Daphnia pulex: one gene and its partners. The main gene of each other region encodes a partner of the protein of the gene in region 2 in a complex. Links are inferred from orthologs where the notes say so. Each region holds a gene or a part of one and is shown on either strand. Other genes may lie near its edges.

The links. Proteins that work in one complex are often made in the same cells at the same time.
Region 1: general transcription and DNA repair factor IIH helicase subunit XPD-like (region 2) and general transcription factor IIF subunit 2-like share a complex: the UniProt entries of both Homo sapiens proteins name them as parts of the TBP-based Pol II pre-initiation complex. The link is inferred for Daphnia pulex from reciprocal best matches to the Homo sapiens genes ERCC2 and GTF2F2.
Region 3: general transcription and DNA repair factor IIH helicase subunit XPD-like (region 2) and DNA-directed RNA polymerases I, II, and III subunit RPABC2-like share a complex: the UniProt entries of both Homo sapiens proteins name them as parts of the TBP-based Pol II pre-initiation complex. The link is inferred for Daphnia pulex from reciprocal best matches to the Homo sapiens genes ERCC2 and POLR2F.
Region 4: general transcription and DNA repair factor IIH helicase subunit XPD-like (region 2) and MMS19 nucleotide excision repair protein homolog share a complex: the UniProt entries of both Homo sapiens proteins name them as parts of the MMXD complex. The link is inferred for Daphnia pulex from reciprocal best matches to the Homo sapiens genes ERCC2 and MMS19.
Region 5: general transcription and DNA repair factor IIH helicase subunit XPD-like (region 2) and transcription initiation factor IIA subunit 1-like share a complex: the UniProt entries of both Homo sapiens proteins name them as parts of the TBP-based Pol II pre-initiation complex. The link is inferred for Daphnia pulex from reciprocal best matches to the Homo sapiens genes ERCC2 and GTF2A1.

The regions. Positions count from the first base shown.
Region 1 is NC_060025.1:406,047-409,484, reverse strand, and holds general transcription factor IIF subunit 2-like, read right to left. Parts: upstream 2,067-3,438; 5' UTR 1,913-2,066; coding exon 1,719-1,912; intron 1,650-1,718; coding exon 1,498-1,649; intron 1,372-1,497; coding exon 1,285-1,371; intron 1,221-1,284; coding exon 1,096-1,220; intron 1,036-1,095; coding exon 892-1,035; intron 833-891; coding exon 716-832; 3' UTR 501-715; downstream 1-500. UniProt on the Homo sapiens protein: TFIIF is a general transcription initiation factor that binds to RNA polymerase II and helps to recruit it to the initiation complex in collaboration with TFIIB.
Region 2 is NC_060017.1:8,164,235-8,168,298, reverse strand, and holds the start of general transcription and DNA repair factor IIH helicase subunit XPD-like, read right to left. Parts: upstream 2,801-4,064; 5' UTR 2,705-2,800; coding exon 2,700-2,704; intron 2,641-2,699; coding exon 2,541-2,640; intron 2,470-2,540; coding exon 2,215-2,469; intron 2,149-2,214; coding exon 1,915-2,148; intron 1,854-1,914; coding exon 1,730-1,853; intron 1,668-1,729; coding exon 1,571-1,667; intron 1,511-1,570; coding exon 1,377-1,510; intron 1,319-1,376; coding exon 1,150-1,318; intron 1,083-1,149; coding exon 963-1,082; intron 898-962; coding exon 829-897; intron 771-828; coding exon 599-770; intron 536-598; coding exon 257-535; intron 173-256; coding exon 84-172; intron 16-83; coding exon 1-15. Other genes in the region: cyclin-dependent kinase 20-like, read left to right, coding at 2,892-3,210, 3,282-3,512, 3,571-3,641, 3,709-3,748, 3,816-4,006. UniProt on the Homo sapiens protein: ATP-dependent 5'-3' DNA helicase. Component of the general transcription and DNA repair factor IIH (TFIIH) core complex, not absolutely essential for minimal transcription in vitro.
Region 3 is NC_060023.1:6,841,136-6,843,925, reverse strand, and holds DNA-directed RNA polymerases I, II, and III subunit RPABC2-like, read right to left. Parts: upstream 1,325-2,790; 5' UTR 1,167-1,324; coding exon 1,138-1,166; intron 1,063-1,137; coding exon 913-1,062; intron 851-912; coding exon 643-850; 3' UTR 623-642; coding exon of another isoform or gene 545-622; 3' UTR 501-544; downstream 1-500. Other genes in the region: LYR motif-containing protein 2-like, read left to right, coding at 167-214, 284-323, 392-489, 545-622; chymotrypsin BII-like, read right to left, coding at 2,344-2,459, 2,525-2,623, 2,683-2,790. UniProt on the Homo sapiens protein: DNA-dependent RNA polymerase catalyzes the transcription of DNA into RNA using the four ribonucleoside triphosphates as substrates.
Region 4 is NC_060026.1:4,198,383-4,202,506, forward strand, and holds the start of MMS19 nucleotide excision repair protein homolog, read left to right. Parts: upstream 1-1,324; 5' UTR 1,325-1,367; coding exon 1,368-1,455; intron 1,456-1,637; coding exon 1,638-1,882; intron 1,883-1,938; coding exon 1,939-2,083; intron 2,084-2,153; coding exon 2,154-2,341; intron 2,342-2,409; coding exon 2,410-2,571; intron 2,572-2,637; coding exon 2,638-2,851; intron 2,852-2,911; coding exon 2,912-3,024; intron 3,025-3,102; coding exon 3,103-3,223; intron 3,224-3,286; coding exon 3,287-3,592; intron 3,593-3,648; coding exon 3,649-3,931; intron 3,932-3,993; coding exon 3,994-4,124. Other genes in the region: glycerol-3-phosphate acyltransferase 3-like, read right to left, coding at 1-66, 129-476, 538-690. UniProt on the Homo sapiens protein: Key component of the cytosolic iron-sulfur protein assembly (CIA) complex, a multiprotein complex that mediates the incorporation of iron-sulfur cluster into apoproteins specifically involved in DNA metabolism and genomic integrity.
Region 5 is NC_060018.1:12,590,387-12,594,187, forward strand, and holds transcription initiation factor IIA subunit 1-like, read left to right. Parts: upstream 1-1,303; 5' UTR 1,304-1,426; coding exon 1,427-1,450; intron 1,451-1,594; coding exon 1,595-1,784; intron 1,785-1,827; coding exon 1,828-1,926; intron 1,927-1,997; coding exon 1,998-2,198; intron 2,199-2,270; coding exon 2,271-2,392; intron 2,393-2,471; coding exon 2,472-2,741; intron 2,742-2,811; coding exon 2,812-2,919; 3' UTR 2,920-3,301; downstream 3,302-3,801. Other genes in the region: serine/threonine-protein phosphatase 2A regulatory subunit B'' subunit gamma-like, read right to left, coding at 1-121, 184-372, 442-610, 671-780, 844-948, 1,004-1,138. UniProt on the Homo sapiens protein: TFIIA is a component of the transcription machinery of RNA polymerase II and plays an important role in transcriptional activation. TFIIA in a complex with TBP mediates transcriptional activity.

The DNA of each region.
Region 1 (3,438 bases), on a different chromosome or scaffold from region 2:
TGATGTTGAAATGCTAATTCTTATTCTGTTGTTGTACAGGAACCCTCACATCGCTACCTGAAGTTGCAGATTTCCTGGTGAAATAATTCTGTTTGGTGTATTTTATAGTATCTATATTGACAAATAAACAATTTTTAAAATTACATTCTGGCAAATTGTAACTAGTGAAAATTAAAACAAATTAATTTGTAGATAACTATATTCAGCGTTAAATTGTTGGTTGAATCATGGTTGGATGATGAATCTCATCAAGAGACAGGCTGTTGCTATTCTAATAGATTATGGCTTTTGACTGAGATAATATAATGTTAACTGTAAGTAGGGTACCATGAAAAGCTGTAAATATTAACATGTAACCTTTTACTTGATTCTTGTTTTTACAATCTTACGATTCTGTTTAAAAGGGGTTCCTCGTTAGCACATAAGCCTACTTTTCGCACTGAACTCGCTCATGAAATCATTTCTTCCTGATATGGTTGGGATAAATTATATTGGTAAAATTTTCAAGTTCGCATCGATGTATTGGACCACACACTTGTTAGCACGGGAATTTTTAGACGAAGGGAAAATTGTAGCCTAAGAGAACATTTTATCGAACAATTTCAAGGGCAGTTGAAACCCATTTGAGTTATCTGAAGTTATGTGCATCCAAGAGCTGTTTAGTAGTTTTCTGAAAATCACAGCTTTATTAGAAAGTTAATGGACTGTTTACTTATTAGTCCTTGTCTTCATCTTTGTAGTGGCGGTATTCCGGTTTCAGTTCCCACATGTTTTTGTGAGGATTCTTCAAATTGTATACACAAACATCCTTCAAAATTTCCTTGAGGTAGGTCTATAAAAGCAGAGGGTTTTAAAAGTGCAAATGCTTGTATGAAAACAACTTTTTCTTACCACAGGTTGGTTGGTGAGTTTTACCAAGTCCTTGATGTTGTAGTACTGATGCTTTTCAAAAGCTGCAAACAGCATGTCCATAACTTTGCCCTTATCATCTCTGGCTTTCTTACCCTCAGCTTTCTTCTTTTCGTCGAATTCTTTCTGTAATCAGGAATAAAAGGTTATGATGTACCAAAAATAGACGAGAATTGCTATATTTACATTATGCTTGTGGTCAGAGATGGGTTTGTAACTTTGAACCACTCGATCCAATTGCTTCACAATTCTTGTAGGTTGGGCAGCTTTAATCAAAGAATCCCTTTTGAGTTTCATGTAACTTGCATTTGCTGATGAAAATAAAAATCATTAATGCTCACTTCAAGCTTAGGAACTTTATTTTGTTGGTCTCACCTGTTGGTCTACATTCAAGCTTCTGGGCAACTTTGCCTTCAAATATGATCTTCTCAGTTTCCATAGGTGAGTTCGCGGTGGCTGGAGCTGGGGAAACAATACAAAAATGTCAATATTAAATTAGATTAATTGCAAGCACGCCACTTTAAATATCATGCTTTAAGCTCAGGCCTAAAATAAAAATCTTCCCCATAACTGTCAAGTAGTACGTACTGGTTTGTTGAGAAAATACACCCAATGTTTGTGAAGTAATGTGTGAAACAATCAATCCATGCTCTTTAGGAATAGGTTCCTCTCCTTTTTCCTGGAGACACATAATAGCTTCCGACAGAATAAGTTTGACTTGAGACTTTTGTCCTTGCACCCTGAACAAGAGTTGTAATGAGTTAATAAAGGATTTGTCGATTTGTTAACATAAACCAATTGATGCATACCTAGTAATATTCAGTTGTCCAGCTGTAATATTTCCAGGGCATTTATCCCATCGACTTGAAATGTATTTTGGTACTTTCACCAACCAAACACCCCGACTAGCTGAAGACATTTCCATTTCCCTTTCATAAACGATGACATCTTTGTCTTTCTCCTTGTCTTTCTCTTTTTCTTTCTCCTTTTTCTTTGACTCCATGGTTTTCAGTTTTAAAAATTCTGCTTCAACGTACTAGAAAAACCTATTCAAGAGAATGTAGTTCTAAATATTGGCCGGCTTTAATAAAACAAGTAATCGTTTCTTCTTTCAATCGACAACGTCACACAACTGAAAAGGTCTTCAAGTCTATCGTCTGCTATAAATCGCGCCAGAGCGCGTTCTTTTGTTTTATTAGATAAGTTTACGCAACCATCAGTTCGTCAACGCATTTTTCTTTAATAAAACCCCCCAAAAATCGAAATGGCATGGAAATTTAATGGCCTTAAAAAAAATAACTGATCAAATTTGTTGTTGCACAATCCCTTTAATAAGCTTTTAACAGGAAATAGTTTGATTGGCCAACATTTTTTCATTTAGCTTTTTACTCCTCCTCAAATGTAACCCTGATTGCATATCTCAATGCTCAAATCTCAAATTTGTTTCAGTATGAATTCCCTAATATTATTATTATTATTATTTTCTTGCCTTTCTAGATTTATAGGAATTTGCAAATCAGGACGTCTATCTGTGTAACTTTCAGACGCGGAATAATGTGGTATTTTTCATAACGCCCCGTGAGAAGTGATTCGGAATGTTTGGAATTTTAATAAGTACGAAATCACCGGAATGCCTGGCCAAGTATATAATCGCCCTCTGAAACAAAGCAGAAACTGGGAAACCTCTTTTTGTACTAGTTGGTCTGATTCGATCGGAATATGTATTACCACTTGTAACTGGATTCAAAATCAAACAATTCTACGAAATCGAGAAAGTTATAACAACTAGATTGGTACTTAAGGCGATGTCTTGTGGGGGGACAATGTCCGTCCACTAACTCCTTTTACTATAATTGAGTTCTATCACTAGTACGAATTGCTATACATGTATAACATAGATTTGTCTAAACAAGAGATGGCGAAACGGTAAAAATAAAAAGAGCACAGCAATTTGAAATTCTAAACGGGTTTCCCTTTCTCATGGTGGCCGCTGGTGGCGGAATCAAGAAGCTGACGACCAGGCCAGCACTCCACTCCGTGATCGAATATACAACATACTTGATTGCGCTTTGAAATGGACAGTGCGAGAGAATAGAAACATATATTTTAGTTTGAAAGTTGTATACACTAGTCCAAGATAATTGAAAGAAATTATCTACCGAAGAAAGAACGAATAGGCTATTTTAAATTTGATCATTTTACACTGGTGAGTATAAGCTATAGTGAGTCTAAATATTCTTGTCGAATGCAAACGAACAGAGAATAAAAGTCATAACCCAAGTTGCGGTTATCGCACTTTAAACTGCAATTTGTATTCCAATTAGTACATTCAAGGTGATTAAGAAAATGTGTGAATTAAATATTAGGCTATTAATTCGGTTATTGCGATTTATTAAAAGATATTTCATATTCAACCTATGATTCTTTCATTGTTATTTATTTCATAATAAAATCAAAGAGTAAGAAAACATTTTATGAGCTTTTATGAAAGTAAAGTTGTGCAGCCAACAATCTCAAGTATGCCATCGC
Region 2 (4,064 bases):
AACATTAACACGGCGCTACATGAATCGGTAAAAGAAATGGTCAATATAGTCAGAATCTTTTGTTTTCCTATTATTTTTCATACCGTCCAAGATGGTGGTCAAAATCAATTCCTTCAGAGACTTTACCCCGTGCGACTGAAAGTAGTACAGCTCCTCGTCCATTATCACAAGCCTTCACTCGATTAAACAGATCGATTCAGATTAAACGAAAATCTTTAGACTAGAGGAATTAATTACTTTTAGAAACGAAACGTACTTTGATGTAGTTAATCAGCGCCAAACTCGTTTCTGCTGCGTCTTGGGTTTCGATAAAGAGGAGCTTGTGTCTTTGCAATTGATCGATAATGCCCTGATCGTACCAAGACGACACAATTGTTTCCAGGTATAGGTAGCTGGTGAAGAAGCAAACAATCCCATCGGGTACAGCGGCCGCTACTTCAACCAACAAATTTCCGTAGTTGCGAATAACGGCGGTGTCCTCACGAGTTTCGTATCGCGATGACATGGCGACCTGGTCGTTACCTTTCGATACGATCTATACTTAAAATAAGAATTTTAGTGTTACGTTAACATTTATGAAAAATGAGGCATCTACTACCATTGGCAGAATACAGGGTCTCGCCAAAGTCATAGTAAATGAGGTCATTATGACTGGATGGAAGTCGAGGATTTTCGGATACATATCAAGCGGTGAAAGGGTTCCTGAGGTGATGACGACAGTTTGGAAACGATTGAAAACTGGTTTGATGGCAATAGATGAATCTAAACAGCTGTAAAATGTACTAGCATTAATCACTGTTGGTCTTTGCGTGTTCTATATTCACATACCTGAAATATAAAATTGGGTTGGAAACTGTAGGTGCCCGATCTTCAAACGGTTCAATGATGATGGTGAATCTAAAATAGTAAATTACTTTTAGATATTTTTTCACCATTTTATCACTGTAAATAAAGATATTAACCCTTTAGTATATGTCGAGACCAATGTAGCAAAGTGAGAAACGGTTACAAGAGGTGAGAAATCCGTCAGGTCGGATATTTCAAGAGTGCGAATGAGTGAAGATAAACGCTCTGCGGTGAATCTGGAAAGTTTATCAACAAAATAGGTAAAATAATAATTTGTGCGTGTGAAACTGTATTTTTATATACCTTAGAGGTTTCCTATCGATACACACTTTAATGTGAATATCTCTCAAGAAACCGGCGGGACTCTCTTGAACGACGTGCTGGACGCGGAGTCGAGTTTTGATGTACTCTACTACTCGCTTCAAAAAGGCCACGAAGTGCTCAGCAGTACGGATCGTTCCAGGGACGGCCTCTATAAATGAAAGAAATGTTAAAATGGCCCGAACGGATACTTGTGAATAAATACAGACCTTCTAAAATTTCAGAAGGTAAAACCGGGTTAACTAAAGCCATGTCAGTTTCTCTCGCTATGTTAGCATCTCGCAATCCTTCAACTAGCCTTTGGTATTCCTTCTCCAACCTTCTGTTGTCATTTTCTTTCATGCTAAAGAGTTAAAAAAGTTAACAACTCTGAAATTAATCATGCACATCCAGTTGTGATTACTTTGAAATGGTGGTTTCCAGAATTTGAATGCTATTGGAGCATTTATCCAGCAGACGTTTCGTTATCTTGACGCTCATCGAATCTATACAGACATTATCTAGAAAAACCAATATTTAATTAGTAGGGCAATTTTAAGAGGTTACGTTTCAGTAAAATTACCAATATTGTGGGCTTCATCAAAGACAACGACGCTAGTTTTTGAAATTTCCTTGGAAACGACTTCTGCAATCTTGGGATCAAGTAAGTAATGATAGCTGTACACCACAATGTTGGCGTGAGTTATCTATAATTTAAATTTGGTATTAATTTGGTTGTACAATATTTTATAAATGTCATGATCTAACGGTGTATCGGGCAAGAAAATAAGGACACCATCCTTTGGCCTGTCCATATTCCTTTAAATCGTCCAGGTTGTACACCCCAGGAGGCAGCGGAAATTCTTTTCCATGAGCATCGAATCCTTCATAAAAGTTGCATACTGGCACAGCGTCATCACCTGCATGACGAGCTCTTACAAACGATGCCGTGAGACCGTAACAGCGCCCGTCGACTACTTTTCCTTCTCTCTCCTTACTGACCTGTTATGTAATTGTGTTGTTGATTAACCATACTTTTAAATCTTTTTACTATTTAATTCATATTACTGAGGGGTGAATGCAGAGATTCTTTCTGGAGCTAAGTGCCAAGCCAAGAATGTTTTGTTCCATGCCCATCTCTTTTTCGTAGTAATTCATTAATTTTCGCAATTCTTCCATAACCTTTTCAATTTCAGGAACAGTTCTTGAACAGTAGACTAGTTTGGTTAAATCAAGGGGGTGAGCCTTCATGTAGGCCACAATTAATGATAGCAATGTTGTTGTCTTCCCCGTTCCAGAAGGCATTTCCAATAAACAGTGACCCTGAATTGATCCAACATCAACAGATATTTATGTAATTTCAAGTTATACTAGTATTGGACGATACAACATACTTTTGCATCGAGAGCATGTTTCAGTTCGAGCATGTATGAAAACTGCTCCGGGTATATGTAATCGTAAGGGAAGTAGACGAGGAGTCCATCAACATTTAATCTATGAACATGTAAATAAATTAAATGTGGTCTCTGAATTGACAAAAGTGCGGGATTTACTTCATTTTTGTACGAGAAAGTTTACAACAACATGCACATAAAGTTGCTTGCCACTTGTTCTTCTTCAAATTTCTAGCAGACTAATTTTCCTTTTCACGTGTCGATAATGGTTACCAATAGATGGCGCGTAGTCAAGGCAACCAATTTGTTGTTTAAAAATATTTGTTGCGATTAGTTTTTTTAAACGATCTCATGGAAAGATATATTGTGAACGGCAGGATTGGGGAAGGGGCACACGGGATCGTTCTTAAAGGTATTGACAAGTCCACAATGAAACTGGTCGCCATGAAACGGATAGCGTTGAAGAACATTAACGAGCAGGGATTGCCGAACTCGGCTGTTCGTGAATTGCTGGCTCTTCGCCTGATCCGCCATGAATATGTAGTGAACCTAGTGGACTATTTCCCACAAGGATATTCGCTTGTGTTGGTCTTTGAATATTTACCAATAGATCTCTACGAATTTTTGCGCTCCAACTCCAAACCTTTGCCGACGAGTCACGTGAAAAGCTGTACCATATTTACATCTCTACAATCAGATTTTAGGCATTCAAATAACCAATATGCAATCCTTTCCATTTAGACATGTGGATGCTAGCCAGCGCTGTGGAATATATTCATAGTTTGGGTATTATGCATCGGGATTTGAAGCCGGCCAATTTGCTGATTGGTTCCCGAGGCGAACTGAAAGTGACCGATTTCGGATTGTGTCGTACGTTCAATCATTCCGAAAAGGCTCAAAGATTATTCACACATCAGGTGGCTTCGCGGTGGTACAGAGCACCGGAACTGCTCTATGGTTCTCGCAACTATGGCAAGTTTCATTTTAATTTAAAAATGCCATGTTAATTCTAACACCTTTTTCACAACAGGACCGGAAGTCGACCTATGGGCTATGGGCTGTATCTTTGGTGAAATGTTGAAGAATTCTCCCCTTTTTCCGGTAAATAATGGCCAATGTTGTCAATATAATATGTTGTAACAGTATCCGGATTTCCATCAAACCCTAGGGAGAAAATGACATTGGCCAACTGTGCACAGTCATTCAAGGTCATTAACAATACGGTAATCATAATCAAGGTGAATGGCATTAACTCTTTTGTGGGTAATTACATAGTACTAGGCACTCCAGACGAAGAAAATTGGCCAGGTGTATCAGCATTGCCAGATTTCCACAAAATTTCATTTACCAAAACTCGGAAACAAATCTCCTTTAAGAAAATCCTGATTGATGTAGACGAATCATCACGAACGATGCTGGAACAATTTCTTCGCTATTGCCCCCAATCACGAATAACAGCTAAACAGGTCATTTCTAATCTTCTATCTTTTAAAAATTTAAATCTAATTAAAACTTTGCATTGAC
Region 3 (2,790 bases), on a different chromosome or scaffold from region 2:
AAATAAAAATAGTTATTTTTCTGAAGGGTATCGTAGAATTAACCATTAATGAATATTGTCAATAGATCGTGAGATGATATTGATAATAGACTCCTAGAATAAATCACTTCAGTAATCAAAACACTTTCAACTGGTTTTAGTAATCTGAATTTACCCACAAATAACTATGTCTACCATTTCAAGAATTCCTAAAAAAGTGCTCACTCTTAAGCAGGTAATTCCATATTTATAGCATTAACATATCACATTGCAGAGCTTCTGATAAAAAATTATTCTCTCTCAGTTCATGCTTAGGCAAGAGGTTTTGAATTTATACAGAGAAGGTAATTGATTACTTAATATTAGGGTACATAGTTCTGATAACTATTAAACAAGTGTTTTGTTCATCAAGTTCTACGCACAGCTAGAAAAGTAGATAGGCATCAAAAAGACGAAATCATCAAGTGGGCTAGGAGTGACTTTGAAACACACCGATCTCACACTAATGAAGTATTAATTAGTTTGTTTTCATTTGGAATTTATTTCACAGAATTTTATTTTGAAGGAAACAATCAAGGGACTTCTCATCAATGGGAGACAAATGGTGAAAGAATTACAAAGTACAATTAAAAAGACATCTTAGTGTATTATTGTATGTTGGACTCAGTCATTGATTACAAGTTCGTCTATTCCCCAATCTTCATAACTTCCATCAGGAAGATAGCGGCGAATGATTATAGGAATTTTCTTCTGCTTCAATTCTTTCATTGCAATTTGCAGGGGATCTGTTTCGCCTTCCAATTCAACCATGACTGGTGCACACATTGCTATTTGTAATGCTCTGGTCCCTAACACCCGTGCCCTTTCATACCTAAAAATGTAAGACTTGTTTATAGTCTTTCATGAGCTATGCATCTTTCAAGTGTTACATACTTTGTCATGTAAGGTGTTGTAATGCGCTTGGTTTGCAGTTGGCCAGCTCCACCTTCACCTTGCTGAAGTAGATCAATTTGTGCATCATCGTCTGGCTGTTCCATTTCATCCATGTTATCATCGTCTTCAGCATCTTCAAAATCGTCGCCACTAAATAACAGAAATTCAACATGTTGTACATGTGATTAAGAAAAGAAGAAAAACTCCAACTAACTATTAACTTACTCGTCGTTCTCAAAGTCATCGTCTGCCATTATTGTTTAAAGGGTAAGATAATCACAGTGAAAAGTGAAAACTGAGTAAGTTAACAAGACCACGAGATTTCCAGTCAAATTTAAGAGATTTGCATTTGCTACAGCGTGCAGACGATGGTGCCCTAGTCAACCGCCACCGCTTTGTCGAGTTGTCGGCCGAGTCAACTTCGGCGTTCGTTCACCAGGTGGCCTTGCGTCCCTTTCTTGATTCAAATGTCGATTCATAAAGTATACGACTATACGTGTGGACTGTGGATACTTTATGGTTGGATCTCGAATGGACGATTCATGGTAAAATACTAAAATGCATCCATTTGTAACAGGGTATAAGAAAACAGTAATTTAAAATGGAAAATGTCAGCACATCGTTGCTTCGTCGACAGTGTAGGACAGTCCAAATGTGTATTAAATAGCTGGGATATTAAGTTGTCGAACGGTTGCAGAGGGTCGATCTCATCAGAGGCGAAAGTAAACCGGTGGCCGTTAGGAGGACGAGGGCAAGAGATCCTACTTGGGATTTCCGGTGAAGTTAAATGTTTTTTTCCAACTTGTAAAAGATGTAATGTTTTACAGCAATTTGCGTGCTGATTATGTCGCCGTCGTACATGCTCGCACGTAAATGCTTACGCTGGTATCTAATTATTACAACTGCCGGACTGTTAAAATGACTGAGATTTTCAAATTCTGGATTCGATTAGAAAATGTTGCGTTTAATGATTCACCTTGTTTTGAGACTTGTTATTACAAACTAAATGAATAAACGATATAGTAATGTACATTAGTAGGTGGGAGCCCTGGGAGGGCATTCAAATGAGTCGTTAGAACCACGCCGTCGAAAGGCTAATCACGAATACGATTGAAACGAGCATAAGGGGTGTCGATAAAAAGGCGGATGTTCAATGAGTGCCGGAAGTTGATTCAATAATATCCCGGATCTACGTTGAAATGAAGAATAAGAGCTCAGTCTGTTGTAACCGTTTGGATGACCCTTTTCTTTTGGCATCCCTCAGTCGAACCGAACGATATGATCCCGATCTGTTTCCACCTGCCGTCCATCTGTTTGTAATTCATCGATCCGCCACTATCGCCCTGCCATATTTGCATACATTTTAAAAGTAAATTCACTAGGATGATTATGCGTTCACTTACTATGCAAGTTCCCATGTTGTTGGCGCCATCACTGGTGCACATAATGTCCTCCTTGGATGTTGTCGCCATAAGTTGTCCTGCAGTCGTTATTGGAGATGAGCCGGACCGTCATCTTATGTAACACTGGGCTTATACGTGGACTACCTGAATTTTTGAAACATTTAACTTTTATTTTGGATTCTCTCGTCGTCGTATGTTGAACGGAATACCGTCGTAAGTTGTACCCCATCTCGTGACGGTAACCATTTCGTTGACGTAATCAGGTTCGTCGATACCGGAAATTGACAGACACACTGGGCGGATGTACTCTGTACAAAATCTTAAATTTAATTATAATTTTAAATTAAAGAACACGAATTAATGATACGTGAATATTTGACGGCGCTTTTGAGTTTGATGAGAGCAATGTCTCCTGCATCGGTGGCAGGATTCCAGGCACGATGGATGAAGGTTTCGCTATTGGAATACAATTTCC
Region 4 (4,124 bases), on a different chromosome or scaffold from region 2:
AGTAATAGTAAGGCGAACACTGATGAACTCATAGTGGCGGTTTGTGCGAGTAAGAAGATTCCAAGACTGGGAAGTACAAATTTAATGTTAGATACTGTGAACCAAATTGGTAGGTGAGATTTGAGTACCTTTAGTTCTTCAGCTACAAATCTTCCTGTAACTTCGTCCTCAATGATTGCTTCCACCCCCGCATGAACAAAGTCAAGGCAGTCAGATAGAATAAAATCATTATTCAAACTGTTAAATGATCTGTTTTTGGGGATGGAGGGTGTCTTTGGAGATGAGTTTCCATTAGGTAAAAGTACTAGATCTTCCTTGGACATTGCTGAAGATTTTATAATGGCATGTCCAGTTGATAATTTGTCCTCAGCTTGTTCCACTGCTTCCACAACATTTCCATTTGCATAGCCATTCTTTCCTTTATTGGTCTCTAGTTTCTTTTGCTGCTCAGCAATTTCTATCCTACCAGTTCCATACTAGTATAAAAAAGATTATGAGCATTACGAAAACTCAAATACTAAGAATAAGACATATTACCTGAAAGACCTTCAATAGTAGTTTAACATATCCTGATCGGAAATTCCTTGACCAGTTGCATGTCATCACTAGCACCAAGCAACCAATTACCAGGATAACAGGCATAAAAATTATACTAAGTACTAGCAAAAGAATTAAATTTTCGAGCCCCATTGTAATATTGTTGGTGGGAGCTCCAGTTCAAGAAGTTGCTGTCGTTGTCGAACACCAAGGCAACAGATGTCGGGACCACGTTAAAGGAAGTGGTGGAAGAGAGAGATTTCAAGGTTGACAAGAGAAATGCCGATTTGAGTTGTTGTGCGTGAGTGGAATTCGCGTAACGTAGTCTACTAAAAGACTGCTACGACAGACGTTTTGGGACTCTCGTTTATAATGGGACGTTCAGGCTACAACTGACTTCAAAAATACGTCTGTCTATTGGTTCTATGCGTTGCGCGTGCGACCTTGACGCGATTAATTATCTTTTTCTAGTCCTCCCATGCTTACCAGCACGATTTATCGGAATCACATAAAAGTTTACTTTGGAAGTCTCCACCCATCTGTTTTTTTTCCAATGCGTAATGAAAAATCTAGAAAATACAAAACCTGGGTGATATTTTCCTCCGTTCACGGAAGCTATTTCAAAACATGTTGGAATGCGGTTATTCAATATTTAATTACGAAATTTGTTACAAAAGTCTGTTGCTTGTTTACAATTACATAATCTGTGACAAAATTATATATTCGATGAATAATCAGTTCATGAAAAGAAGAATGTGAGAGGTAGGCAACCATGTGTCATTTAAAAGCAGATGACGTTTACATAATCAGGGCAGAGGTAAACAGTAAACATGGCGATCTCGACTGCGATTCACAAACTCAGAGATTCGTTTAATTCAGAAGAATCCGCGAATGAATCTATTCGCTGTATTAGTCAATGTAAGTTTTTATAATTATAACTGAAAGAAACATTTTTTCGTACTCCGCTCAAGTGTTCGAAATTAGAAAAAAAGAAGGAAAAACACGTGTCCATCATGAGCGCGCCAGATTTAAAACATATGTGTAGAAAATGTTTAATAATTTTAACAAGTTAACATCAATGACTTTGTTTAATTTTTCAGCAATTGCATCAAAAGAATTAACAATTCTCAAGCTAGTTGAAGATTTGCAACCAGATTTACTGAATCAACAAAATACTCACCGATGCAAAGCAGTGTCAACTATTGGCACAATCTTGGAACAGTTGGGGCCTGAATTGAAGGGACTAAATGAAAAGGAAGTAGAACTTGTAACAGAGTTCTTCTGTAGCAAGCTAAAAGATCATCATTCAATACTACCTGCCGCACTGCAAGGCCTCCATGCTTTGGTATGAAAAAAAATACTATTCAATACAAAAGTGTTAAATTTAATACCTTGTCATAGAGCACAGCACCTAAGCTTTCCCCTGGATTGGCCAGATTGATATCCCAGAGCATTTTTCAAGATGTTCATTGTCAATCACAATTGCAGCATGACAGAAGAGCAATTTACAAAACAGTGAAAAACCTCTTGGCTTTTCATCTAAAAGGTCTAAATTATAAATTTCTAAATATATATGCTGTGTTAGTATTTTCTAAATTTTATTTTTAAACTTACAGAATTACAAGACCTAGGCCAAGATTTTGTTTTTGGTCTCATCCAGTTAGCTGATCAAGAAAGAGACCCACGTAACTTGTTGATTCTCTTCAGTGTTTTCCCTGTAGTTGCTCGTTACTTCAGATTCGAGCCGTTTACAGAAGAGTTTTTCGAAGTTTTTAGTTGCTACTTCCCTATCGATTTCACCCCTGTAAGTCTCTTGAAATTTTCAGTTTATTGCTACATGTCAGTAAATCCTAATACTCTTATTTTGAATAGCCAGCTAATGATCCTTATGCAGTAACTAAAGAACAGCTCTGTGATGGATTACGACAGTGCCTTGCCGGTAGCCCTCATTTCGCAGAGTATTGTTTGCCGTTACTGCAAGAGAAATTGGAATCTGACTTGGTTTCAGCTAAAGTAGAAGCCTTAAAAACCTTGGTAATTTTCCCCTTCTATATTTAGTCTTTATGCTTCAATTCTATTGTAATTTTCGACTGTTTGCAGGAACTCTGCTGTCAGACGTATCAACCAGGCCAACTTGAAAAATGGGTGGACTCTTTCTGGACGAGTATACGTAGAGAAGTCTTGATCAATGTCAATACCGACGATCTTGAACATGCCTCACTTGATGCTCTTGCCGCTTTATCCCGAGCTTTTACAACAGACGGAGAATTTAACAGTCCAGCTTTTACCAAATTACTAAAAAATGTGCTGACCGGTAAATGTGTAGCAAATATTCGTTTAAGAGTATATTTAACTGTAGATTGTATATTAATAGAATGTCAGGGGCACTTGTGTGAACCGGAACGGCGATTAATGACTCCGAGCAGCTACATTTTGCTAGCGATATGCTCGGGAAGTGCGCCCGCGTGTGCATTAATTGTTAGCCAGGTATTATTCTTATTCTCTTATAGAACTACAAACATTTTTTTTAAAATCTACTTAACAGAAACCCATTTCTCTAAATAGGTCATTCCCCTTTTGATGGACCAGTACAGGATCAGGCCACAGTCAAATCCACGTCAGTTCATCCTTAATAGTTTGAACAAAATGGTACATGCTGGTCTCTATGGTTTCACTGAAGCAAACGGTACCACATTTTAAAAATTATTAAAATTAGAAACATTTTCATATCTTTGGTTATATTTTACAGTTGCTCAAAGTGGTGTAGCTTCTCTGATACCAAAATTGTTAGAGCTGTACCTTGAGGTCTTACAAGAGGATGACGCAGTTCTTCGCAATCTAAGTCTGCAAGGATTGAGCCATTTAATTGGCACCTGTTTGAACCACCAAGACTTGGAAAAGGTCAATGGAACACTTTTAGATTTACTCCAGAAATCAACAGCCACCGATAGCGTTATTGCAGAGATTGGTCATTTCTTTTGCAAAAGCGCAGAGAAGAATGAAAACTTGTTCCTTGAGCAAGTCTTGGTTAAGCTGTTAGATATAGCCGTCTCAGGTAATTTGAATTTTACCAATTAAAATACGGAAAGAGGTTATCTGTTGGTTGTTTAGGCAAAGCCAATGCGGTTTTTCTTGTGTTATCAACTCTACCGACGTTGTCCCAGATTCGTGCGCAGGTGGTATCCCGACTAATGACCGTGCTCGAACAACCCGAACTGGAATTACGACTTGAAGTACTCAAAGTTTTGACTCATTTCGCACAAAGGGACGAACTAGAAATATTCCAGCAATTGCACCGCTGGGGATTGAAAACATTGGAAGATGGAGATCCTCCGGCGTCACTCCAAGCCACTTGTGTTTTATTGAGAAATCTGGCTTCCAGTTTATCTTCCGCGTAATTCTATTAGATCAAAATGTTGGAAGAAATGTTTTTGTAATCTTCTCGGCATTGTACAGGAAAGCCACGGAATTCATCAACGAACAAACCGAACAATACGTAGGTCAACATCTTGCTCGTTCTCCGTGGACGTTGTCCATAATGGAAGCGACATTGGGATCATTGGATGCCACACCTAGCGGACACAGTC
Region 5 (3,801 bases), on a different chromosome or scaffold from region 2:
GACAAAGCATGCCGTTTCTGTTGGTATCTAAATTTAAGTATTGACCGTAGACTCTCAGAGCGGAGGGCGCAGAAAACCAGTTTGAATCCTGTGCATCTTTGGGCAGCTCTTCATCCCGTAGCTGATGAATTATAATATTTTTAGCGAGAAGAATGACAAAAGAATCAGGAATATACTAAATACCTCTAAAAGTTCGTCCAGAAAACCAGAAGCGAGAATATCCTGTATCCTGACTTTGCCTAGCTTTAATGGATCTAGGAAAAAGAGGAACTTGCGTACGGCGGTACAGACGTAAAACGAATGGAATGACTTTTCAAGCCCTTCTAACTGTGGCAATGTTGGGATAAGTTCAGTTATGTAGTTCTCTAAATCCTGGGAAAAACAAAAATAGATAAGTAAATTACATATTGCAAAAACAAAAAACATATTGCTGATGTTCACCATTTCAGTAAGCAGACCTTGTCCTGTGGCATCATATAATGAAAGACCAATTCTAGTTTGCTGTAACCAAACTTTCCTCATGATGTAATTGAACACTGCCATGGTTGATATTCTGCCATGAATATCATTCTGCAATAGCCTTGCAAATACATCTGGTGTAAAGAATGCTCTGTATAGGGGAATTCAAAAAATAACTTGGTGTTCCCAATCAAATATTTACATGTCTTACTTATATTTTGGACCAGCTATGTTGCCTACTTTGAGAAAATCAATATAATTGATCATCTGCTCAGAACCAGCAGGAGGGCTGTGATTTTTGTCAAGTAAAGTCCAGAGATTCTAAAGACAGGATGAAAATCTTATTTACCAGTAGCACAAACACTGGCAATGACATTAACAAACCTGCAGTTCATTGTTATCGAGGAGTTCTTTGCTCTTCTTCTGAAGGAATGCTGTTCTAGCTTCTTCTCTCAGTTTAAGGCTAATCATGTTTTCATGATTAGGAAGCTGTGTAACAAAAACATAAGAAATTTATAGGGAATCAATTGGAAGTTATGCTTACTTTGGTATAGAACTTTGGAACTGGCATGCTTTCTTCCGAGCATTGCTTGCTATATTTGAGACCTTCGGAATACAACTTTTGGAAGGTATCTTCATCTTCGGCGTTTAAAACCAAAATCTCGGATTTTTCATCCATCTCGTTGATGAAAATCAACGAATACTGAGACTTAGGCCGCTAATAAAAACGTTTCTTGTTCATTCGATTCAAACGTGTCGAAACGATAACAAACGGCTTTACTTTTAGCAGAAAGAATGTTTTTTTCGACCGCTAGATGCTATGCTTAGCCAAAATCACGCTTCGTGGCGCTGCCATCGGGGGCATTTCGATATATATTGCCGCGTCAGTCTTAGTTTTCATGTCGGCTTCCTGTTGAACGAAGCCCTCCCGGAATTGAAATCAAATAAAATTCAATTTCGTTAAAGAATGGCCGCCAATCAGGCACTCGTGGTATTTATTTACCTTTTACTTTATGATAATATTTCATGGGGAATAGTACCTGGAAACTGTTGTTGCATTGACGATTCCACTCCACGAGCTCGATCTCACTCCTCGTTGGTCTAATTAAGGACTTTTATATTTCTTTTTTTGTAGTCGAAACTGTATCGTGGCGTTATTGAAGATGTTATCAACGGGGTTCGAGAGGCGTTTCTTGACGAAGGAATCGATGAGGCTGTACTTCTCGAATTGAAGCAGAATTGGGAAAACAAATTGCAGTCCAGCAAAGCAATCGACCCTGTGACCGATCCTGCTGAAACTTCTCTCCAAAGCAAACTGCAACAAAGTATCCAATATCGATTATGAGACTTTATCATGTATGAAAAAAGGGTCTTCTTTGCCGTCAAAAGCAGGTCAGCAGGCTAGCTCTACAGCTCCTGCGAACAATTCTACACCTCAACAGGCAGCCACTACGGCAAAGCAACCAGGTAGTTGGGTATACTGTTACATTGAGTGCATTATTATTAATTGTTTTGTTTGTTTGTTTTTATTTTCTCTAAAGCAGCAGCAGCAGCCCAAACCCCAGTGACTACCCCTAATGCAGCTACAGGTGCAGCAACAACAGCAGCAGCTGCAGCCCCTGCTACGACAACAGTAAGGACGGTGCCAGTCCAAATCACTGTTCCTCCTCAGGCTGGAGTAGCAGGTCATACAGCAGCCAAGAGCATCACTGTTCACGTTCCAGCTCATGCTCTTCAAGGTTATTTCCCAATTGAATCTCGTTCGTACTAGCTCCAATCTAATTTCTTTACTATTTGTAATAATGTCACAGGTGGCGCAGCGGGAGCGCAGCTGCAAACGATCCTGAGTTCACCGGCTGTGACGGCGGCTCTCTCTCTTCCAGTTGAAATGGCCACGACTGTCTTGCAGCAGCACATTAATAACGCGTTGCAGGTACCATTGGTTGAAATTGAATCCACTCGAAAGTGTATATAATAATGTGTGTACAATGCATTATTACTTTTCTTTGTAGTCGACAGCTGCACGGAGCCAATCGCGAACTGACAATGGAGGAGTCACACAGTTGGATGGACCCGGAGACTCTTCGGACGACGACGACGATGTTGAAGATGATGACGATGACGACGTGGAAGAAGAGGACGATCATGACGACGAGGAGATTGACGCAGACAACGAAGAGAACGCAGACGAGGAGCCACTCAACTCTGAAGACGATGTGACTGATGATGATCCCTCAGTGTTATTTGAAACTGATAACGTCGTCGTGTGCCAGTACGACAAGGCAAGGATTTGAATTTTAGCATTCGAATTGGAATTGAAATGTTTTAAATGACTTTTTTTTCTATTTGTAGATTACGAGAAGTCGAAACAGGTGGAAGTTTCATCTCAAGGACGGCATCATGAACATTAACGGTCGCGATTACGTCTTTCAAAAGGCCAACGGTGATGCAGAGTGGTGAAAATATTCAAGGTTGAAATTGCGCTACTAGGGGAAAATCAAGATAATGTTTCATTTAATACAATCCGGAGGAATTTCGCTTTCAATTTAAGGATTTTTCGTGTGCCTGTGCGTGTGCATGTGCGGAATTTCTTTTTTCATGTCGGGTGTTGGATGAGCGGTGGAGAGGAAAAAATACCTGGGGACAAAGAAACAAAAGCCATTCGTGTTTGTCCTCCCTCGCTTCTTTTGTTTCGTTTCTCTTTTTTTGTTAACACACAAAACTTTCCGAATTCTTTTTTTGTCTCATCTTTTCCCTGTTCGCTGCAGAAGCTGTTGTCGCCCCCTTTTGATTCAGGAATATTTAGAAGAAGAAGAAAAATATATGTTCAAATTACCAAGAATTGCAATTAGTTTTCGAGAAGATTCTAATAACGTGACCCAAAACTAGTCCAAGACCCAGGGGACAATGTTACTAATTACGGTACCGAAAAATTCTTGTAATCGTATACAGTTGGTGGTGGACATTTTCAATGTTAGTCGGAAGAAATCTAGATTAGGTTGTATACATGGGAAGTCATTCAGGCGAGCGTACGGGGACTTGAAAGCAAATAACCAAGTGGTCAAAAGCTTACATCCGTTTGCAGTCATCACCGGGGAATTGCTCATCCAACTATTGGATTCGGTACACGTTAATGGAGTTTCTACACGATAGCAGCGCGGTAGGAGTTGTTGGCGTCCGCCAAAAAGTTTCCTAGAGCCGTTAAAAGGCAACCAGCACAAAACTAAACGAACTTTGCTGTTGCCAGGACCTTAGGATTCGACCTGCTGGACTCATTATCAAAACTAAAAAAAAAACGAGGGGAAAAGTTTCAACAAGGACGGACTGGGGCGTTCTTCCATC